4 linked regions of the Rattus norvegicus genome follow. The protein of the gene in region 4 purifies or fractionates together with the protein of the main gene of each other region. This does not show direct contact. Links are inferred from orthologs where the notes say so. Each region holds a gene or a part of one and is shown on either strand. Other genes may lie near its edges.

Region 1 (5,330 bases), on a different chromosome or scaffold from region 4:
AGCTTTAGCAAGAGGTAGCAGTAAGATGAAACCAGTGGAGAGCTGAGTCACAGAATGTCTGTTAAAGGATTTGGGATAAGGCAGTAAATGTCTGTGTTTGTCATTAAGAGGACAGGGTTGCATACACGACATGACTTAGCAGTGAAAAGTGATTGTTGCCAAGAAATCTGAGTTCTGGTCCTAGAATCCACAATGAAGGAGAGGATATGCTTTAGCATGTTGTCCTCTGATCTCTACATGCACAGTGATACATATACATCCTCATCTAAATAAACAAATGTAAAAATAAAGTGGTTTTTAAAGAGGATAGTGTTTGCTGGGGCTGAGCAGTGCGTCCTGCAGTGCTTGAGGCTAGGAGCTAGGGGTTGGCTCTGTACTTGCTGAGTACATATGAGTCACTTGAGCTCCTTGGAGTCAGTTCTCTTATGCAGAAAGTTTGTCATGCCCACCTTCAGAGCAGACCTAAGAAACACTGCCATATAGCCAGATGTCTCAGGAAGAACATTCTGACATTAAGTAGGAAAAGTAGAATTTACTAGATAACAGAAAGGTGATTCTTCAGTAATATTTGTCTACATGCCACTTGAGAAATGTTATTATCCAATAAACATTTACTTTAATGGGTACAGCTCAGTGGCACCCTTTTTGCAGATCATGTGCCAATTAGCATTTAATGAGAGCCTGGAGAGGATTTTATGACTTGCCATGGTGTTACAGATCGTCTTGCTTTGGAGGTCTGCCCTGCCCACCATCCTTTCAGACATATTTCTAACATTTGGCCCTCTGTGACAGGGTTCTTGGCTATGGGAAGGAACTAGGTAGCTTTGGTACTGTACCTTACAACCATGTTACCTATATCATGACAAATGTCAAATGTCTACAGGCATTTAGATTGATGTTCTTTTGTCCTGAGCTTTTTCTGTAGGCCTGACTGGACTCCCAACTCAGAGATCAGTTTGCCACTGCCTCTCAGTGCAGGGATAAAGGTGTGTGCCACCATGCCCAGCAATTGATGCTTTGGGTAAATACCAAAGATTGTTTCTATGTTTGTTTTTTAAAAAGGACCTTTAAAAAGACTTAATTTTTTTTATGTCTAGCAGACATAGTTAGTTGGACTAGGCAGAAGTTTCTGAACGCAGGAGGTTTCTATGTTGACCTCGCCAAAGGTGTGCAACAGTCTGGTCAGCATTGGTCTGTGGTATACCTCATCTGGGCCCTCACCTCTTGTCTTCTGTCAGTATACAGGGAACGTGTGGCGTTTGTGTATGGAAGATACTGAGAGTCTTCCTTCTACTCCTTGCTATTTTTCCATCACCATTCTCTGTCACCTTTCTTGTTCCTAGGACCCTCGAGATGCCCCTCCTCCAACAAGGGCAGAAACCCGGGAAGAACGCATGGAGAGAAAGGTATGTTGTTTTTACCTCTTAGTGTTTGTTGTTTTGTTTTTTTGTTTTTGTGTGGGTTTTTTGTTTGTTTGTTTGGTTTTGTGTTGTATTTTTTTAGCTACTTTTTTCCAAATGGTTCCTGACATCGAGGTACTTCTGGGTACACTCACTTTGCTTCTTTTTTCTACTGGCAGAGACGGGAAAAAATTGAACGGCGACAGCAGGAAGTGGAGACAGAGCTGAAAATGTGTAAGGTTCTCCTTCCTAGCAGTGTTCCCCTCCATTCTCATTTTGCTCCTCTTCCCAGGTCACATGTGTGTCTCTTCTGGGAGCTTGAGAAGCAGAGTTGGCTCACCTTCCTAGCAACCACTTGCCAGGCACTGCACTTGTATAAGGCTGTTGTGGGTTGTCCTGATGATTTTGATGTTAATTCAGTTTCCTCAAGAGGGGTGTCCCGTCCCCCACAAGCAGTTGATCACTCAGGTGATCTCGTGAACTTTCTCCCCATTTTAATTAGTCACCACTAAAGACAGTGGAAGGGAAAGGTGGGATGGGAGGTCTTAGTAGAGAGGAGAAGGGAAGAGAGAGGACTGAAGAAGAGGAAGAAGCCATGATGGAGCAGAACCACATGCCGAAAGTTGCAAAGAGTCTCATTGGGGAATAAATTAGTGAGGTGTTAGGTCTGCTCAATCTAGGCTTATAGCTTATAATTATTTATTGTAACTGGATTGTGTGTTTTTATATAGGCTTATTGGGGTTGAAAATTCCAACAGGCTTTTCTTCTTACATTACTTGTATGTTTTATTTTATTTTTTATAAGCATGGATTTTCTGCCTACCTGCATGTGGAAGATTAGAAGAGGGCATAGGATTTCCTGGAACTGTAGTTGGATAGTTAGGAGTTACTATGTGGCTGCTGGTGATCAAACTCCAGCCTTCTGGAAAGAGCAACCAGTGCTCTTAACTACTGAGACATCTCTCCATCTCCAGTCGGTTTATGCTTTTGACATGTAGGGAGACCTCAGTCATTTGCTTTCTTTCTTTCTCTTTTTTTTTTTTTTAAGATTTATTTATTTATTTTATGTACAGCATTCTGCCTGCATATGTGACTGCAGGCCAGAAGAGGGCACCAGATCTCATTACAGATGGTTGTGAGCCACCATGTGGTTGCTGGGAATTGAACTCATGACCTCTGGAAGAGCAGTCAGTGCTCTAACCACTGAGCCATCTCTCCAGCCCTATTTGCTTTCTTTTAAAGGAACCATGGCGTATGCCATTGTGTCTTCAGGTAAGGCATGGGGTGATCTGGCCATTTGATCCTGACCATATCTCCAGCTCCCTGAGCTTGGAATTGGAGATACTACACCCAGATAAGGAGGGATTAAGTAGTACTTGGTAATCAGACTCACAAAAGTGATCTTGGTATTCAGTAGGTAAAGACTCACCACAGGATGAGGTTTATCTCCATCTGTTGTCTGCAGCCTTGTTGAATCATTCTTTTCTAAACTATATTTTAGAACTTGTAGGTAGTTAGTACACATGATGAGTAAGTTAGTGCACAGAGCTCTAGCTCTTGTGTACCTGGTTCTATGTATTTTCTCAGACACCTCATACTTCATGTTCAAGCCACAGAAGCACCTCCTAATTCCTATGGATTTTTGCCTTCCCTAATAAATGGATTTTTAGCTATATAAGTTGTTTCCAGATGTTGCTACTCAGTTTGCCTTTAGCACCCATGTTACGGTTCTCTAAAGGAACAGCACTGATAGAAATGTGTGTGTCTGTGTCTTACAGGCTGTGGTCTGGCTAGTCAAACAATGACTTTTTTCAACAGAAAGGCTAAGAGTTTGTTCACTGGAAAGTCTGTGTTGGAATCCTGAAGAAGTAGCTCTGATACCAGTGAGAGAATGCTTTAGCAGCAGGAGGGATGACCCTGGCAGGGAGTCAGGGCAGGCAGGCAGAAAACTTTCTTCATTCATGGTTTTATGTAGGCTGCCAACAAAAGGTATGACCCAGATCTCAGTTGGCTTTTCTTACCTCAGATGACTGAATCCAGAAGCCCTCAAAGGCGTGCCCAGCTGCCTGGGTTTTAGTTGACTCCAGAGTCATGAAAGTTGTCAACTAAGATGAGCCATCCCAACACCATTTATAACTTCCCTAGCTTGTCATAAAGATCTGCCTTTGTTACTTGCTAAATGTCACAAAGTGAGACATTCCATGTCCAGGGTCCTCTTGGCTTAGACAGTGCTTTATTAGTGTGTCTTGTTCACTTGTCTCCCCAGCCCAAATTCTCTTAAAGGAGCTTTCCAAAGATAAGTACTCAATTCTTCCTCCTGCCCTCAGCATAATGCCAATCTCTTCCTGTAATCCATGTTTGCCTTGCATCAGTTGAAGAATGTGGGAGATTATGTAGAATAGACCCATGACCAGAAATCTAAAAAAAAAAAAAAAAAAAAAAAACCGACAAGGAGAAGTTGGGGGCAGGGAATAGGGGGACCATGGAATAAGAGGTCAAAAGACTCATCATCTGAGGTTGGTTTCCAGAGTAAAAACCAAAAAAGGGGGGGGAGATCAACTAAGCAAGACATTGAGCTTGACTGGATTGGGGTTTAAATGTGGTGTATACAGGTTTCATTCTGATATAGCCCCAGTCGAGGGATTGAAAATGAAGTTAGAAATTAGTCATTAACAATGATACTGTGGTTTCAGTTTATTGAAATGTATTTATTTCAATTGCATTGATGATCAACATAGTGTGCTCTGAGATGTGACTGAAATTCCAAAGTTGGGTTGGGGAATGTAGAGATCAATTAAGTTAGGCCCTGTGGTGGTAATTGAAGCAGGTTCATTGTACTGTCTAAAATAGAGCAGAGGATGGATCAGGTACGGTAGGGTATCTATCTATGCCCAGTAACTATAGAAGCTTCTATTAAAGGAGACTCTGTCCCTTTGCTGAGCACTTGATGTCCTTCATGTTATGAACTCATGGTGACTTGTACGTGCAGGAGGAATGATTATTCCCATTGCAAGATGAAAAACAAGTAGTATGTTGTGGAGTTGTAGAGTATCTTATAAAGAGGGGGCGTTTCAGGTTTCACAGCAACTAATGGAAAGCCTAGTGAAGTTTTCTAGCTGTAAGGCTTCCTGTAGTCTAGTTCTGTGTTAGGGTCCTGACAAGGGAGTCCTAAGAAGTTCAACCTTGACACATATGCACATTTAGGCACTGGCTGTCAAAGAGAAAGGAAAAGGGGACAAGAATCATCACTGATTCCTTTTCTTTTTTAAAAATAAAACTTTTTTAAAGATTTGCTTTATGTATGAGTGCACTGTAGCTGTCTTCAGACTCACCAGAAGAGGGCATCAGGTCTCATTACAGGTGGTTGTAAGCCACCATGTGGTTGCTGGGAATTGAACTCAGGACCTCTGGAAGAGCAGTCAGTGCTCTTAACCACTGAGCCATCTCACCAACCTGACTCCTTTTTTCTTTACTCCTCCCAATTTTCAGCACCCTAGGATTAACCCTGCCTAGGGACAGGTAGTGGGATGAGGTCAGCAATGTTGAGGGGCATCTCTTGAGTGGAGGTGCAGTTGAAAGCCTTAAGTTTTGAAGAGCCCTCTTTTGTTATGACCATGCCCTTTTTTTTTTTATTCATTTATTATATATAAGTACACTGTAGCTGTCCTCAGACACACCAGAAGAGTGCATCGGATCTCTTTACAGATGGTTGTGAGCCACCATGTGGTTGCTGGGAATTGAACTCAGGACCTCTGGAAGAGTAGTCGCGTGCTCTTAACCGCCGAGCCATCTCTCCAGCCCATGACCATGCCCTTAATGATCAAAAGGACTACCACCATGGCTGATTCTTTGGATCTAGTTTGCCTGTTGGTGGGAAAGTCACAACTGATAACTGAAGAAGCTTGCAAAATATTAATGCCTGTGATCTGT
Region 2 (6,007 bases), on a different chromosome or scaffold from region 4:
GTCCAAGCAGCTAAAGGCATCTTACCAGATCTAATTCAAGGAGAAACAGCTGGCCTGGAGTAGCACACACCTTTAATCTTATCACTCAAGAGGCAGAGGCAAGCAAATCTCTGAGTCTGAGGCTAGCCTGGTTTACAGATCGAGTTCCAGGACAGCCAGAGATACACAGTCAGACACTATCAAGGAAACAAACAAACAAAAACAGAGCCAAATTTTGCTCCACACCTTATAAAAAAGCATGTAAACACAGACTACCTACGGGCTATGGTGCTTCCTCTCTGGTCACCCTTCCTTGTACCACAGCTGCAAGAAATCTCACATGTGATAAACTGCAGGTCTCCATCCTGTAATTCTCTTTTTAAAAATTTTATGTGTATGAGTATTTTGCCTGCATGTATGTATGTGCACCATGTGTGTGCCACAGAAGCCAGAGGGGTTGGGTCAGATTCCCTGAGGATTTGAACCATAGCTCATGGTTGTTAGTAATCATGTAGGTGCTGGAAAATGAACCTGGGTTCTCTTGCAAGAGCAGTCAGTGCTCTAAACTGCTGAGTCATCTCTAAAACCTCAAATTTGTTTTGCTTTTTCTTTTGAGACAGGGTTTCTCTGTGTAGCCCCGGCTGTCCTGGAACTTACTCTGTAGACCAGGCTGGCTCAAACTCAGAGATCCTCTGCTTTCAGAGTGTTGGGGTTAAAGGCATGTGCCACTAACCTACTGGCTGCAACTCTCTCCATGATGGAGAAACAGATTCATGGGAAGAGCTATCAGGCAACACCAGGATAGCCAAGACTACACAGAGAGACCCTGTCTCAAAACTTGGATACACCTTAGGCTTATTTTCTCTGAGTATGAGGCCATCCTTAAATTTGTAATTTAGGTCCCAGCCCTGGGTTACATTTAGAACAATTTAAACAGCGATAGAAAGCTGCAAATCTGGTCAATAGGTCACTCCTCTTTGCCTGATCACAGCAAAGTTATTGCAAGAATTATTTTAAGTACACCCATGCTGTTCTTTTTCAACTAGCCATTACCTGGGGTCATCTTGCCCACCGGACAGAATTATTTCTCGAGAAGAGAACTGGGCTTTATTGCAAATCAGGACTTAACACTGCTTGTGACCCTATCCCCCTTGAGCTGCCTGTTAGGAAAGTGTTCTATGGTGTGGGGGCAGGCCTAATGGCTGGTCAATACTGAACAAGCATTGCCATCTTAGGCATCGTAAACTTTAACAGGTCTGGGTATCATACTGTTTTTTGGGGGGTATTTTGAGGGCAGCATTCCTTTAGCTAAATTCTACTTTGTGTAATTTAATGTCTCGTAAGCAAACCTATTAGTAATTACTACATCAATTCTATTACTTTGAGTTTCTTTTACATCAAATCCTTTTAATAATGCACACCTGAAGGAAACATTGCTTGAAAAACTATCCATATTTCTCCATGCCTCATTGTGAGGCTATGCAGCAAGCTTTTTCTAGACAGTTTCTCTTTTTCTTTAAAATAATGTGTATGTATGTAGTGTTCATAGGTCCATCAGATACCTGGACTGGACTTAGTTTGTGAGGGGCCATGTGAGTGCTGGGAATTAAATCTGGGTTCTCTGGGAGAGCAACCGTTTCTTAACCTTTGGGTCATCTCTCCAACCTGTCCTAAAGTTTCCAATGGTGCCCTTTCTGTTTTCCACTGTCCTGAATCTGGGAGTTCTTTCTTTCTTTCCCTTTTTTTTTGAGACAATGTATCTATTTTTGAGCCAGGCTTCTGGGAACCAAGGCTAAGAGCCTAGTTTATTTCCAAATTCGTTATGTAGCAGAGGTTGACCTTGAACTCTGGATCTTCCTGTCTCACCTTTTGAGGGCTGGGTTATATACTTCATCTCCGGCCCCAGCATTTAACTCCCTTAGAATAATCTGTTCTTTTTCTTTTTTCTCTCTCCTTTCCCTTCCTTTCGTTTGCTTTTTTTGAGACAGGGTTTGTCTATGTAGCCCAGTCTTCCCTGGAACTCTCTTTGTAGATCAGGCGGGTCTCGAACTGCCTTTTGTCTTCCAAGAGCTTGAATTAATGGCTCTGAGAAGACGCGTTTCACTTGGAGAGCAGCCATTCTCTTCAGCCTCGCTCGCTGTTTAAGGAAGCCGCCGGGAGCCCGCCCTGGCCCCTCCCATTCCCATCATGCACCTCGCAATTTTATTTAGGTGGCAGTTGGACTACGTGCCACGGTGCGGCGCGCGTTCTCGTGTGCGCAGGCTCAGAGTGCGGCCTGCTTCTTGTGTTGGCGGAGGCGAGCGGAAGTCCTTGGGAGCGCCAGTTCCGTCTGTGTGTTCGAGTGGACAAAATGGCGAAGATCGCCAAGACTCACGAAGGTAAGCGGCCTTTCCCTTCCCACGCGCGACCTCGGCAGCCAGCCAGATGCGTCCCTCTCTCTTGGCTTTCGGCGTCTTCGCGAGGCATCTCTGGCCTGGGCCGAGTCAGCGCGGCGGGGCCTGCTCGGCTCTTCGGCGCAGGCCGCTACCCTCGTAATGGCGTCCTCTTGCACTCCGGGGCTGGTGCTTTGTTCCGCGCTGGATGTTGGTGCTTCGGACTTCTCTTGCTCTGGCCGGAGGGCCTCGCTCGAGCGGCTTGCTCTGGAGGACTCCGGGGGAGGGAGCAAGAGGCGGACATGGGAGGGACGTCTCTCTCGCTCCCTGGGCGCTGTCGTTGGCAGTTTGCACCTGGAAAGCCCTGAATGACGGCAGCCGCTTTCGGGCCGCTCTTAACGGAGTCCGTTTCAGCGGAGGCCTGTTACTTCAAACCTCCGTTGTATAGGTATCTCCAGGCGGCTGGGTTATGTTGTGGTGGTGCTTGCACGAAATGATTCCGGCATAAAATCTGGTAGTTTACTCCTTAAATCACTTTCAGCGTAGTGTTTCTCTTTTTCTTTGAGAGCTAAATGTTGGAGAACCAGGAGTAAGAAAGAAGGAAGGAAGGGCAGATTTGACCAGTTGCCAAAGTTTTCAGGGTAGTCGGTCATTTTATGCCCCACAAGAGTAAAACAGCTTGAAACATGTTGAAAAGCTACCGGATTCCATAAAGAAGGAACCAGAGAAGACGGGAAGGAATTGAGTGTGAGAGATTGAATCTCTCTTTCTTGGCTTCCGGTTTAGAAGCCAAAATTTACGCTGACAACATGGCTACTAAGTCACTAAACAAGTCCTTTCTAAGTGTGTGTCTTGGTGTTAGAGAGAGGTAACAAGCTAAGGATGTTAGAAATTTGACAGTTTGATGTGGAAAACAAACGTGAGTCTTTATTCTCTTAGAAAAGGAATGTGTACAGAGAAGTAAAGCCAATACTTTCTGAGAAGCTGGGTAACGGAGCCATTAATTTATGCATAGTTATTTTTGGGAGGTGGTGACGTGGTGCTGATAAAAAAGGATCAATCAGTTTTAAATTAGAGGAGGATGTCTGAGCCCGAGGGAACATCTTGTAAGAACACTCGTGACTCGTAAGTGACTCGTTGTTGTGGTGGACTAGGGTGTAAGGAGGGAATTCCGATACGATTCTAGAGAGATGGTTTAGGACCAAAAGGTGATTGTTGGGACATTGGAGGAACTGAAAGTATCAACACTTTTGAAAGCCAGAAATGTTAACGCCTTAGTCTTTTGTTTTTAAACTGAAAGTACAACACATGTTTTTGTTTTCTTTTTTTCTTTTCTGAGATTACATAGTGATCCCTGTTGCCCTGAAACTTCCTATGTAGACAAGAATAGGCCCTAGTCTACAAGGTTAAAAGGCCCGAGTGTGCTATGTCTGGCTAGTCCAAGACTTTTTTTTTTTTTTTTTTATTAACTTGAGTATTTCTTATTTACATTTCGAGTGTTATTCCCTTTCCCGGTTTCCGGGCAAACATCCCCCTAACCCCTCCCCCTCCCCTTCTTTATGTTTTTTTTTTTTTTTTTTTTTTTTCCTGGAGCTGGGGACCGAACCCAAGGTCTTGCGCTTGCTAAGCGCTCTACCACTGAGCTAAATCCCCAACCCCGGTTTTTTTTTTTTTTTTAAATTGCAATCTCTCTCTCTCTTTCTTTAAAGAATGATTTATTTCATGTATGTGCGAACACTGTCGCTAGGTTATTTCATTCTGGGGAACCAGTGAGTTTTTTGGGCTTACAGAGCCTGGTATGAGGGGAAGTGTTTACTGACAGAAGCATGGTTTACTGCATGCTGGCATCTCCATAGCTGCATAGGTAGAGTTTCATGCCCTGATAGGTTATTTATTTATGGATATTTTGTAGCTTTGATTGTTGGCTTATTGATATCTTCAATGTAACATACTCCCTGTTAGAAAATGTAAAGTTTATTTTATGTGCAGTAGTGTTTTTCCTACATATATGTCTGTGAGGGTGTCAGATTCCCTGGAAGTGGAGTAAAAGACAGTTGGAAGCTTCCACATGGGTGCTGGGAACTGAACCCAGGTCCTCTGGAAGAGCAGCCACTGCTCTTAGCTGCAGAGCCATTTTTCTAGCGCTGGTAAATGTAAAGTTTAGGGATGAATTTATTTATTTTCTTTCTTTCTTTCTTTCTTTCTTTCTTTCTTTCTTTCTTTCTTTCTTTCTTTCTTTCTTTCTTGTTTTTTTCATTGTAGAAGTCCAGCAAACTTGTTGGTCAGTTGTAGGTCATTGGCAGAAATTGCTAATTAGGATTATTTTATCGTTGAATTAATTAGTATTGTACAAGTGCTGTTTGAATGCAGGGTGCTGTATGTCACTATTAGGTATAAGTCAGATGCTAACACCACCCCCCCACCCCCCAAAGACAGGGTTTCCCTGTATAGACCTGGCTGGACCTAGCTGACCTGGAATTCTGTACACGGGGCTGGGCCTTGAACACAGATTAATCTGTGTTTCTTAAGTACTGGGATTAAAATTCTCGCATCACCACCGCCCATCTCATAACTTTTTAGTAGAACTGTATATAGCATTTTCATGGCCTCTTGCTCTCTTAATGACGTTTTCCTGGAGAATATAGTGTTTTACAACTGTCATTTAAGTCACTGTAACATGGAGCAAAATTCGTTTTCCTGAGGGGTGTGGCCCTCAGTATAAGTCTTCATTGTCTTAGTCTTTTTGTTTTTTTTTTTTTGTTGGTAGGTTTGTTTGTTTTGTGGCTTTGCCTTGGAATTTGCTCTGTATATCAGGCTGGCCTCGAACTTTCTGTTTTTTGAGACAGTTTCTCCATGTAGTTTCTGCTGTCCTGAAACTCTGGGTAGGCTATGCTGGCTTTGGATTGGCTTGCCTCTATCCCCCAAGTGCTGGGATCAGACTTATGCACCACCATGCTTGTTTAAAGTAGGGCTTTTGAAAATTTTTTATATTTATATTTGCTTTGTGCAAATATCAGGACAACTTGGAAGAGTTGTTCACTCCTTCCACGATGAAGGTTCTGGGATGTCAGGTTTGGCAGGAAGTGAGTTCACACCTTTAATCAGAGTAATCTCATTAAAGCTTTCTCTACCATTGGTGTGCACAGGAATTATATGTGCCTTGATAGCTCCAGCACCTGGTCTATAATATGTATCCAAGTGTTAAATCAACATTTATTTGATAGATTAACATGTATTAGATTTATTTTACTACTTTTGGAGAAAGGGTCTTTTGTAGTCCAGGCTGGTCTTGACTTCTGATTTTTCTATCTCTTCAGTGCTAGAATTGTAGGCATGTGAATTCACACCCTGTAGTTTTATGGAAAAAGGCTCATAGAAGTGGATCGTATTTATTTTTGTTTTAGTTTTTCCCTTAAATTTATGTATTGTGTTTTGTATTTCTGCTTCTGTCACCATGTGGAAGTCAGGACAACTTTCTGAAGTTGGATTCCAGTTTTCAGGCTTTCTGCAAGAGCCTTTAGCTGCTGAGCCATCTTGCTAGACCTCACTTTTGGTTTCTCTTGGAAATAGTGTGTGGACATGGCTGGCTGGTTACTCTCTTTGCTTGTTTGTTTGTTTTGAGACCCATTCAGGGTTTCTCCATGTATCCCTGACTG
Region 3 (6,109 bases), on a different chromosome or scaffold from region 4:
CCCCTCCAGCAGTCAGGGTTTAGATGCCTGTCACTTTGTCAGGCTTTTACATAAGTGCTGGGATTTAGAATCGGGTTCTAGCACCGCAGGAATTTTATGAGGTGAACCATCCCTCCAGCCCCACTAACTGTAACTTTTTGAAAATTACTTTTTTTTTTTTTTTTGGTTCTTTTTTTTCGGAGCTGGGGACTGAACCCAGGGCCTTGCGCTTCCTAGGCAAGTGCTCTACCACTGAGCTAAATCCCCAACCCCTGAAAATTACTCTTTACCACCTCCTAAATTTCTGTGGTTTCACCTCATTGGGCTGCACTGTGGGCGGAGAGGCAGAGAAGTGTCTGGAGTAGCAGCCTGGGAGCTTAGTGTTGACTGCCTGATGTGTCCCTGTCCCCACCCCCACCCCGCTGTGGCTGTCCCAAGGCTTCTCTGCACTGCAATTTCAAATCCCTCTGAATTGAATCCTCAAGCTGCAAGTCTCTTTAGGAGGGAGAGAGGCCTGTGTGGCTGAGTAATTAACCGCTTCTGTTTCTCCTACCTCCCACTCTGTAGGCCCAGAAAGATAGCGTAATGGTGGGGTTCATGACTGTCACCCACAGCTGGCTATCCCAAACACAAACCTTTCTATAAAATATACACTAGGAAGCCAGGCATGGTGGCACATGCCTATAATCCCATCACTCAGGAGGTAGAGGTAGGAGGATTAGGAGTTTAAGGTCATTCTCTGCTACAAAGCGAGGAGCAGGCCAGCCAGTGCTACACAGCAAGATTCTGTCTCCAAACAAGAGGGCTTGGGTAAAGCTCACTGGTAAAGGGTTTTGTTAGCATGCTCAAGTCTCTGGGTTCCATTGTCAATACAGCAAAAGGAGAACAAAAGGAAAGGAAGGGGAAAGGGAGGAAAGAAAATGCATTCTATTCTTTTAACCCAGTTTTGTTCTTACATTTGTACTGCACTCAATGGATGTTGCCGTTCTGAGGAATTCCATCTTGTTTGTCCCAGGGTGCAGGCCCATTTTAAGAAAAGCTTGAATGTGCTGCACCACTTGTGTTGGGTCTCATAAGCACACATAATTAGCACGTTTGTTCCTTACATTCTTCTTGGAGGTGTGTGTCACCTCTTTGTTCTGCTGAAGGAACTGACATTCCGTGCCATGCCCAAGGTAACCTAGTGTATTTGATTCTTGTATTCTTCTGCTTTAGAATGATTTGTCTTTCTCTGAAAGGATTTTTAGGAGTTCAGATATATGGTCTCAGATATATATTCCTGGTTCAGATCGGGAGATAGGTCTAGAAAGGACCCCGAGCTAGTTAAATATGACATAGGAGGAGACACAAAATCAGGACTCATGACAGACAAGAAGTGCCTTCTGAAAGTCTGATTGTTCAGACTTTCCTTTTTCCCAGCCAGATTCTTACTAGAAACATTTGCAAGAAATCATGCTTGTGAGTCTTGTGATGGATAGAGCTCCCAGAAGTGAGAAAATGGAGTCTACGCTCTGGTTGTGCCCTTTGGGTAGGTCACTGCAATCTTTGAGCACCCCCTTTCCATTTAAGATAGGGTCTTCTGTAGCTTAGGCTGGCCTCAAGCTAGCAAGTGCCCCTTGGTGCAATTGGAGGATAACCTTGAGCACCTAATCCTCCTGCTTCTATCTCCCAAGTGTGGGGAATACAATCATGTACCACCATTACCAGTTTAAATTTAGTCAGGTCTCACCTTGGATCCCTGGATGGCCTGGCACTCGGAGATGAGCCTGCCTCTGACTCCTGACTACTGGAATGACAGGCATGTAACCCTACACTGGGCCCTAGTTTAAATTTTTTGACTACATAAAATGGTTCAATTACTGGAAGACTTGACAGAGACAAAGTTTACTATGGAAATAACTTTGTAAACGCTCAGATTGCCGAGATGATATATTATAGTTCATTCTGGGCTCTGAAGTACAATTGCCTAGGCTTAGATCCAGGTAAATAACCTACCTTGAGAAAACCGTGCCTCAGTTCTCTCCTATGTAAAATGAAAATAATAATAAAAGAAAGTAATAATAAAATCTTATTCCTAGAACTGTAAGGGTTCAAGCCATGGAAGTATTCGGCACGCAGTAACTGCTCAGCGGTTCTTAGAAGTATAGTCCTTAAAGTGTAGGTATTTTGGAACCTCAGACGAAGCTCCACCTCCATTCCTGTTTCGTCCCGCCCCCTACCCCGCAAAATCCCGCCCCAAGCTGGCCCCAGGTTCTGAGGCCACCAAGGGGGCGCCAGAGATAAGGACGGCTCTCTGGTAGAAACGGACGACGCTCTAGGTGACAGAGGTGCTTCTCTGTGGTCATCAGCGACGGCGCTCTAGGCGGCCGGAGTGAGGGGCGGGCTTTCTGTGGTGCGGCCGGCTGGCAGCTATGGCGGCCGTTCGCGGCCTGCGAGTGTCTGTGAAAGCGGAGGCCCCCGCTGGGCCGGCTTTGGGGCTTCCGTCGCCCGAGGTGGAATCCGGTTTGGAGCGTGGCGAGCCGGAACCCATGGAGGTTGAAGAAGGCGAGCTGGAAATCGTGCCGGTGCGGCGCTCCCTAAAGGAACTGCTCCCGGTACGGGCGAGGGGCGGGGGCTGAGGAGGAGGTCGCCGAGCGAGTGTCCCTTGCGAGGCGGGGAGGCGGTGGACAGCGGCGCTGGCGCAAGTCCCGGAATGCGGCGAGGGGCGCGAGCGCCGAAAGGCGGGGGCCGCGCATGACCCGGAGAGCTCCGGAGAGAAAGGACGCCGGGGCGCCCGGAAATGGGTGCAGAGAACGCTGGAGGAGGCGGGGGTTCTCGGAGAGAGTTGGGGACACCCCTCTGACTGCCCCTCGGTGCGGGCCCGTGGCCCGGAACGAATGAACTGAGTTCGGCTGAAGATAAAAGGGAGTCGCGGGCGGGAACAGAACCGGATCAGTCCTGAAAGGAAGTGTTAGGTGCCGCGGGCGTCCAGGTCTCCTGGTGGGTCCTACCCCGGCGGAGTTGGTGTCACTTAAACATGACATTCGCTCTTCGGTTGGGAGGGCTAGACTTGTCAAACAGCAGACACTTGTGTGTTGGTATTGTGAATGAGTGTCCTCATGTCCCCGCGTGCCTTCACTGCGTCTACTTGGTGGTCCCAGCTTCTGACGCACGGTGACATTTGATCTTTCTTTAACCACAGTGGATATGAGGAGTGTTTTGTTTGTGGTTTGGTATCCACATGCCCGCTCCTAAGGCTGGTGTGAGGCCTGGGTAGCTTGATTTTCACACATTAACCCCCCCCCCCGTTTAATTATGCGATAGCAGGTCTTGGTTTTACGTTTGAAGTTATAGTGAAGGGTAAGGTAGTGGTGACAAATATCTTTGGTAACATCTATAGATTATACTGTGGTCGTGACTTTAATCAGTTTAACATGTATATATCACACATCTCTCTATGTGCTGGTGTAATTCCAGGTGCCGAAGAGCAAAACTCCCTCTTGGTGTTTGCCCTAGTAGGGGACACAAGTAAATAATTTCCTTTTGTGTTAAGTGCTACAGAGAAAACACATCCTGTTAATAGGATAAAGTACAGTGGCCAGGAGGGATGTGAAGCAGTTGGTATGTGTTGGGATGCACAGGGAAGTCCCCCGAAATAGATTCAGCTTTAACCCTAAATGACAAAAAGGGGCCAACCATGTTGGTTGGAAAGGGAGCAATTCCTAGCAGGGAGGACTGCAAGCACAAAAGTCTCGGACATGAAAACAAGATTGTTTTGTTGAAGAAATGTTGGGTTGTCTTCAGCACAAGAGGAGAGCAGAAGTCAGAAAGATGTTGTAGAGGAAAGCAGGGCCTAGAGATTGAATGCAGGGGCCAGGGTATTGGCTGCAGACCCGAGACTTCAGTCCTCATTCTAGTCACTTCCCCTCCTTTTTTTCATTGTATTAGGCTGTATTTTTCCCAGAGATCTAGGACTTGAAACATTTTTGTGGAGGCATTTGCTCCACCTAGTGGCCTTTCATAGAAAATTTGTCCTGTCTGGTTTGGGGAGTTAAGTGACTGTCTCATTTTTGACATTTTTCACAAAAGACTTTAGGCTTTCATTTATCTAGATGCCCTGAGTTGACAGAATTACTTAATGTTATGCACAGGCTCCTGCCTGGGGTCTGGAGAAGACTTCTTATTAGAATGGTTGCTTTCTACTGTGGAGCCTCAGAGATAGACTTCCTCCTAACAAGGGTTGTTAGAATGGAGAAGGGTTGCTAAAAAGAATGGCTTCAAAAAGGGCCAGCTGTCAGGCTGCCTTTTATGGTGGATTGTTCTGTCGGAGTTTCTCATTTTTCCTCTTCTGGTAGGACACAAGCAGAAGATATGAAAACAAGGCCGGCAGCTTCATCACTGGGATCGATGTCACCTCCAAGGTGAGACAGACGGTGATTATTCAGGTTGATAAGCAGATAGAATTAGTGAATGTGGTCTTTACCTTTTACACAATGGTAAATATTTTTGCCTCATTTTTTTCTTTTGTTGCTGATATGTATCTCATCTATCTATGATACACATATCTCATAATGTCAAATATCTACATCTGTCTGCCCAACGATGTCCTTATATATCCTGAGACCGTTCAGGCAGCATTTGTGTGTGCACATATCCATGAAAAGATAATCACTGAACTTAGTTGTCTGTGCTAACCATTTCCAAGAAAGAGTTTGCACTGGGAATGCTTATTTTAATATTTATTATTTAACATTCACTTGTTATGTAGGATGGATGTGTGTGTTTTGTGTCAAAGTGTGCATGCTGTAACACATGTGAAGTCAGAGAACAACATCAGGTGTTGGTTCTTACCTATCATCTTTTTTGTTTGTTTGTTTTTTGTTTTTGTTTTATTTGAGGCAAGATCTCTCTGCATAGCCTTGGCTGTCCTGGAACTCACTATGTAGACCAGGCTGGTCTCAAACCCACAGAGGTACACCTGCCTGTGCATTTCAGGTGCTAGGATCAAAAGCATATGCCACTACATCTGACTTTTTTTTTTTTTTGCTGGTAGTAGTATTATTGATAATATTTTTAAATTTGTGTATGAGCATTTGCCTGTATGTATTAAGTGTACCACATTCAGAACTAGGATGTGAGGAGCTCAGGAGAGGACTTCAGATCCGTTTGGACTGGAGTTTCAGATAGTTGGGAGCTGCCCTGTGGGTATTGGGAACCAAACCTGGATCTCTGTAAGAACAGACAGTGATTGTAACTGCTGAACTATCTCTCCATTCCCCCTCCTACCTTGTTTTTGAGGTGTTCTCTCATCTCTGTCTCCTGTCTCTAAGAATGTAGAAATTACAGACAAATGCTGCAGGGTCGGACTTTTACATGGTACTGGGAATCTCATTCAGGTTGTTAGGCTTACCTGGCAAGCACAACCACAGTCATGCTATGCCCCTGGCCTCGGGGATGCTTAAAGCCATTAATGTATATCTGTGGAAACACTGCTTTCCAACTTAGAAAAATGGTTAGAAGTTGTCTGCATGTCTAAGCTTTGAGGGCCATGCCGACTGATTATCCCCAGCATCTGACAATATTGTCTTTTGCTAAGTGATTGCGTTACCATTGTACCACCTCCATTATCATACCTCAGAGTGAAGCCTCTTAGTTCCCATGTGATAAATTGTCCATACGTTGCTTTAATTCAGTTCATTCAGACTTTTTCTTTCTTCATGATTTAAATGTGTGCTGTTCAGTTTAAAACAGAATTTTCCATTTCAATTGTACTTTTTATTCTGTGTATATATCAGTGTTTGCCTCTGTGTGTTATGTGCACCATGTGCCTGCCTGGTGCCTATGGAGGTCAGAAGAGGGCATCAGATCCCCTGGAACTGGAGTTACAGACAGTTGTGAGCTACACCATGTGGGTGCTGGAAACTGAACCCTGGTCCTCTGTAAGAGCCCGTGTGCTTTTAAGTGCTGAGCCATCTCTCCAGGCCCAATTTAAAATGTAAAATATATATATATATATATAATGATAATATATATATATTAGATCTTTAAAAACAAGAATAAAAGTAAGTATGTTATACTTGGCTTTTTATAATTTCTCCCTCTCAGTTTGTGTCAGATACTTAAAGGCCAGAAGAAAGAGCTGAACATCTTC
Region 4 (5,890 bases):
CAAAGAAAAACCATTTGCCTATAAAAGTAGAAACCCGGGATGAGGGGGAGAAATCCTTGTCCTTCAATGTATCTAGGATCAGAGAAAAGCGTATACACAGCACGTCTCTAAACCTCAGCCTTAGAACATCAACAGCCTATTTTTGTTACATACACTTTTTGATCCTTTTAAAAGGGGCTCTGATTAACATAAGCCGTACTTATGTTTCAACTCAAGGATTCAATGCCTTTACAGCATTTAAGAGTGTGGATCTTTTCTACACTCATTATGGAGCAGGGTCGCCCATCTAAGGAGAGAAGACAAAGGGGGGGGGGGGGGACGACAAAGTACCGTAACAGTTTCGAGGGAAAGCTTTGGGAGGAAAGTGTGAATGGGGGCGTGTGATGTACTGGCTCGACTTTATGCTGGACAGCCTTTCAAGGCCTGGATCTCAGTACCTTTAACGATCAGGTAGGCGATGGCGAGGAGAAAAGCAAGGAGGACGGCGAACAGCAGCGAACAAAGAATGGAAAGGGCTTGGATGGGCCACCGCCGAGCCTGGGTTCGCTTGGCCGCAGTCGCCGGGAAGATGCCGTTGCGCTTATCCGGCAGGACCGGCGACCCGTCCCCGATCCGTGGGAGTAGCGGAGCCCTCTTGGACTCCGACGACGCCCTGGCCGAGAACTCTGCTCGCAAGTCGCGGGCCACTTGGTCGCATCCCTCGTCTCCGTCCTCACTCCAGCTATTCCCTTGAGTGTAGTCGGAATACACAGACCGAGTGACAGGGCCTGGGGTAACCTGACGGCGCCTACGCGGGCCTACAGACCTCCAACTCTCCACAAAGGACATGGCGGGAAAGACTGAGAGACCCGCGAAGGTCGAGCGTCCTCCACCGCCACGCCCCTCCCCGACAACAGCCAATCAGCGGCGGCCGTCGGCGGACCCAACCACCGAGCGCAGAGCGGTGGGGGGGTGCACCAGCGGGTTTCCAGGCAGCTCCGCTAGCGGATGTGCCGTGTGAGCGCGCGCCCGTGGCCCGCGGAGAAGCACTGCTTAATTTATTCGGCCCTTTCCGGTCCTATTGGCACGCACCGTCCAAGCCCCATAACCGCAGCTTCCCGCTCAGCTCCGCGGCTTCCTAACCGCCAATCGCTTCCTCCCTCGGGCGAGTGATCTCCGCCTCTACAACTCCCCGCCAACTACAGTACGCGCCTCCATCCTTCACTGGGGCGCGCGCAGCTCTGAAGCCCCGTACCCCCCAAACCCCCCACCGGCGAACCCCGGGCACGACCCCTCCCCACGCCAACCGCGCGCACGCGCGCACTAGGCCGCTAACGCCGGGTGCCGCTTACCCCGCCCCCACCCCACCCCTGGTGGCCTCAGGTTTGTGGGGCGAACGTAACTAGGGCGGGGGGGTGGCGAAGGTGGCACGACGCCATTGCCACACCCCCGGCGGGGTGCGGTGGCCCAAACCCGGGAATCTGGGTCCCCGCCGTGTCCCCTTTCCTGGGGGAAGTTGGTAGAGTTTCCCCGGCAGAGCACTCGACGCAGAAACTTCCTCCATCCCCCTCCCCCCTCTCCATGCAGGCGACGCCGAGTGAGGCTGGGGGCGAATCGCCGCAGAGCTGCGTGTCGGTATCGCGCTCTGATTGGACAGTAGGGAAGCCTGTCAGTTTATTGGCCCCGCTGATCCCGCCCCGCAGCTCAGGGCAGCCTTTACCCTTTGGCCCCAGCGGGCGCCAGCCACTCAGATCGCTTCTTGTTGGTATGTGTAGCGGCAGTGGCCGCCGACGGAGCAGTCTGAGCCCGACGATGAGGCCGGGGACTGGAGCCGAGCGTGGAGGCCTCATGGTGAGTGAAATGGAGAGCCAACCTCCCTCGCGGGGTCCCGGGGACGGGGAGCGGAGATTGTCCGGCTCAAACCTGTGCTCCAGTTCTTGGGTCTCTGCTGACGGCTTCCTGAGGAGACGGCCCTCGGTAAGGGATCGGCGGGGTAGGGGAAAGCGGCACAATGAAAAACCGAGTCAGAGAAACAGGAAGCTTTCTCCAAAAGGAGACGAGTATACCAGGAAGAGAGCTCCAGATGGTGGGCTACGTCCCAAGGGAGAGAAATAGAGGGCGGGAACGCACAAAGAAATATGTGGGACCTTGGACTTGCCAGTGGTCTTGGCCTAAGTAGATGCCTTAGGAAGGGAGGTGCTGGGCCCCGGGCGGACTGCACGTCTGAAAGCCCCAGGCTTGCTTTATGGTAGGGAGAGGCTGCTGCAGTTTATTTTCCTCCGGAGTAGTGGTGATTTGCACCGGTTGGGGGATTTGGTTGGGAGAATTGGCTGCGGATACTTAGTTTCAAGCCAGGAACAATGGAAGTACTATATTTTTAGCTCACTAAAATGGATGAATTTGTTATTTGCATTTAGTGTCTGGGACAGAATGACAGTCTTTGATATTTTAACTATATTAAGACATTCGTTCCTTAACGAAGTACTCTTGGGTACCCACTCTGTTTTATGATCAGACCTCGTCCAAATTAATGTAATTTTAAGTAGTATAAACAGAGTATATGTATAAAGGTGACAAGGTTGGGTTCACCGTAATAATTTTAAGTTAGAATTCAATACATAGACACCAAGTCTGGCCAGTCATTTGACAGTTGGCTAAGTCATCGGAGAGGGATTTTAATCCGCTATTGGGATTAACTTCCCCATATTTTGTAAATTTTGAGGTTCCTCATAATAACCACTGTAGTATATTTTAGATTAACGTTACTAGATGCTAATCCTGTAGTTTAATCACATTGACTTAGTTGACTTTCAGTTCAGTTGATGGGTTTTAGTCGTTGTTTTTGAAATGACAGTTTAAAGAAACATTGATTGTGTCTTACCTCTTACTTTTCATTGTTTTTCAGATGGGGCATCCTGGCATGCATTATGCACCAATGGGCATGCACCCTATGGGTCAGCGAGCAAACATGCCTCCTGTACCTCACGGAATGATGCCACAGATGATGCCTCCTATGGGAGGGCCTCCAATGGGACAAGTAAGAAGATGTTTTTTTACTTTGGCTTGCTTATTTTTGTTTGCTTGTCTCAAGATTTTAAGGTGTGAGTCAGTGTTGTACTTGCAGATGTTTAAAGGTTAGTTTATATCCATATAATGTGGTCAAACAAGACAAGCATTATGGTGATCATGTCTGTAACCAAATTTTGAATGGAGTAAGACTGTATTTTAAAAAATTAACTGATTTCCTCAACAAAGTTAAGATTTAAAATAATCTTTTAAGCCGGCGGTGGTGGCGCTCGCCTTTGATCCCAGCACTTGGGAGGCAGTGGCAGGTGGATCTCTGAGGTCAAGACTAGCCTGGGTCTATAGAATGAGTTCCAAGACAGAGAAACCCTATCTTGAGAATTAAGCAAACAATCTAAAGTGACAGTATAGAGCTAATCTATTTAACTTAGTGACTTCTTTCAGGCATTATAATTATTAATGGTCTAGAAGTAAATATCAGAAGACAGTCATGGTGAATGTGTAAAGCGTAGCATCAGAAAAATAATAGTTACTTGGGGTTTTCATTTAGAATGAATTTTATTCTTGTAGTATCTTCCTCTTGTTGGGAGTGTGGGGATTTTCTACTCTATTACCAATTCTTCCCTGGACCATGCCAAATAGGTATATACTCGTTTTCTACTTAATTTTTGAAATGATTATTGCTTCTACACTCCTACTTGTGCATTGTCCCTTGCATCTCTAGCACAGATTGTAAATGGACATTTTGTAGAAGTGATTGGATTAAAAGGTTTTGAGATGACTTCGTAACACTGGTAGTAGGATTTCTAGAGAAATGTTCAAGAAAGTCAAGAGCTTCAGTTCCATGAACAGTTGTGTCCTATGCTAGGTGCTATAATACACAGAGTCTTGGGTGGACTGGGTTATTCCAATTGAGTATCTTGATAAGTCATGAAATATTTTGGTTAGCAGATATTTTAGAAAGTCAGTTGTATATTTTCTTTTGCTAATGAGTACTATGGAGTTTGATAATGGTTTAAGCAATGAAGGCTAAAGTTATTGGTGAAATTGCAGCGGAAACAGGAGCTTGTTGTATTTTTCTTTTTATTTTACTTCTAAGAGTAGAATGGTTCAATGTTAAGTGGTTTTCTTTTATATTTGGAATATAGCCCTTAATTTTGTATAAAAAGTTTTATTCAAAGGCACCAGACTGAAAAGATTCTGCCTGCAGGAGTTCTTTATATAAAAGATTCTTTGCTCTGTTACTCTAGAATAACAATACTTTAAAGCTCCCTAGGAGATGCAGAGACAACTCTTGATTCTTCTTCTGTATCTTTCCATCTCTAAGCAGCACAAAACCCTTCTTGTTTTCTTGATAGAGCTGCTCTAACTAGATAATGAGCTTAAAAAATATTTATTCTTTAAATGCTCTGGTTCTTATTTAAAATTAGTTTCTTTCCACAGAAAGATAAAATAAAACAATTTGCTACTGCCAGATGCTTCTTTCTTTTCTGGGGCCTTCTGTTTCCATTGGGCCAGTCAAGGTAAGTTTTGCAAGGGGTTGACCTGCTTACCCTTGCTGTAATGGTGCTGTTGCACTAGCAGACCTGAGATGCCAGCTAGTCATTTTTAGTATAGTGCAGATTTTTTTTTTTTTTTAAGTAATTGGCATACACTGGTCACAGTTTGTTTTATGGCCCCTTCTCTTTGGCTGTGCCAGTGACCACTTTCCTAATAAGTTTACTTGCTACTTACACACTTCAGATATTCTGAATTTTGCTTCATGGTTTTCTACATTTTTTTTTTTAGTCCAGTACGTTCTATACACCATTAAATACACCCAATTATTTAAATGTTTAGCATCTTCCTCTGAGGATAATGAATGAATACTTTAGGAGACCAGATCTGAAAGTCTCAAGAAAGTTGCTGTTGTTCTCTCAAAATTAGATCATTATCCAGTGCCCCTTCCTAGCTAACAGCATGGGTTCTAGCTCATGGTAAAGCTAAGCTGAATCCTTGAGGACTCTAGGAATCTTTCTTAAAGCTCTGAACTTTCTCTTAAAGATGAACTGATTGTTTTTCCTGCATCATTTCTTCTGTTTGCATATACTCAGGATTATTAATAGTAATTATAATGAGAAGATAATTGACAAGTAGCAGGGTGCCTATACCACTCATGGCAGTGAATGTATAGTTTTATCATCCAAAGTTTTTCAAAACATTTTCAGATTTTTGGGACCAAGGGCTATATAATCTTCAAAAATAGTTGATCCTTTATAACTGCAAGATTCTATGTCTATTTGTTTCATCTAACATGGGCTTATAGTTCATGACAAATAGATTACAATTTCCAGACCACAAGCAGATTTTTTCCTTGTCATATTAACATTTAACACATGAAACAGCTATATAGTTATAGAGAGAGCATGTATATCATGTTATGCATAAGTAATCTAGATATGATTTAGACTATACAAGATGTCCATTGGTTATATGCATATATTATGGACTTTTTTATGCAAGGGTGAAAGTCTGAATTTTGATACACAGGATCCTGGAACAGGTCAGCCTACTGTCAGTTATCTGCTACACTGCCCACATTTAAGTTCCCTTAAGAAAATTGGATGATTGTGGTCTTTGAAATGTTACTGAATATGACAAGACATTTAAAGCTTGTTTATAAAACAGTATGCAAACTAGGCAGTAATGATCTAGGCTTAAAAGGGGGTTTGCAAAGTTGAAACTAGAGCCATTTTTTTTTCCAGTTCAGGCTGAATCTATTAGTAAGTACCTAGAAATAGCAAGCATAACTTAACCATAATTTCTTTCAGACTTATCTTTAATATAGATTAAATTATTACCTACTGATGCACATAACATTTGGGGAAAGTTATACTTGTCAGCTATA

What was found.
Region 1: the proteins of Prpf40a (region 4) and Snrnp70 fractionate together in Homo sapiens (co-fractionation; 3 studies listed by BioGRID, with this or other methods). This does not show direct contact. The link is inferred for Rattus norvegicus from reciprocal best matches to the Homo sapiens genes PRPF40A and SNRNP70.
Region 2: the proteins of Prpf40a (region 4) and Sf3b1 purify together in Homo sapiens (co-immunoprecipitation; 3 studies listed by BioGRID and IntAct, with this or other methods). This does not show direct contact. The link is inferred for Rattus norvegicus from reciprocal best matches to the Homo sapiens genes PRPF40A and SF3B1.
Region 3: the proteins of Prpf40a (region 4) and Ncbp3 purify together in Homo sapiens (affinity purification with mass spectrometry; 3 studies listed by BioGRID and IntAct, counting the BioPlex papers as one, with this or other methods). This does not show direct contact. The link is inferred for Rattus norvegicus from reciprocal best matches to the Homo sapiens genes PRPF40A and NCBP3.

What each region holds. Positions count from the first base shown.
Region 1 is NC_086019.1:105,005,540-105,010,869, reverse strand, and holds part of Snrnp70 (U1 small nuclear ribonucleoprotein 70 kDa), read left to right. Parts: intron 1-1,343; coding exon 1,344-1,406; intron 1,407-1,579; coding exon 1,580-1,634; intron 1,635-5,330. UniProt on the Homo sapiens protein: Component of the spliceosomal U1 snRNP, which is essential for recognition of the pre-mRNA 5' splice-site and the subsequent assembly of the spliceosome. SNRNP70 binds to the loop I region of U1-snRNA.
Region 2 is NC_086027.1:64,022,913-64,028,919, reverse strand, and holds the start of Sf3b1 (splicing factor 3B subunit 1), read left to right. Parts: upstream 1-2,200; 5' UTR 2,201-2,329; coding exon 2,330-2,357; intron 2,358-6,007. UniProt on the Homo sapiens protein: Component of the 17S U2 SnRNP complex of the spliceosome, a large ribonucleoprotein complex that removes introns from transcribed pre-mRNAs.
Region 3 is NC_086028.1:58,161,873-58,167,981, forward strand, and holds the start of Ncbp3 (nuclear cap-binding protein subunit 3), read left to right. Parts: upstream 1-2,368; 5' UTR 2,369-2,390; coding exon 2,391-2,573; intron 2,574-2,675; exon of another isoform or gene 2,676-2,958; intron 2,959-4,313; coding exon 4,314-4,379; intron 4,380-6,109. UniProt on the Homo sapiens protein: Associates with NCBP1/CBP80 to form an alternative cap-binding complex (CBC) which plays a key role in mRNA export. NCBP3 serves as adapter protein linking the capped RNAs (m7GpppG-capped RNA) to NCBP1/CBP80.
Region 4 is NC_086021.1:58,094,411-58,100,300, reverse strand, and holds the start of Prpf40a (pre-mRNA-processing factor 40 homolog A), read left to right. Parts: upstream 1-1,791; coding exon 1,792-1,956; intron 1,957-2,883; exon of another isoform or gene 2,884-2,884; coding exon 2,885-3,016; intron 3,017-4,446; exon of another isoform or gene 4,447-4,478; coding exon of another isoform or gene 4,479-4,526; intron 4,527-5,890. Other genes in the region: Arl6ip6 (ADP-ribosylation factor-like protein 6-interacting protein 6), read right to left, coding at 438-828.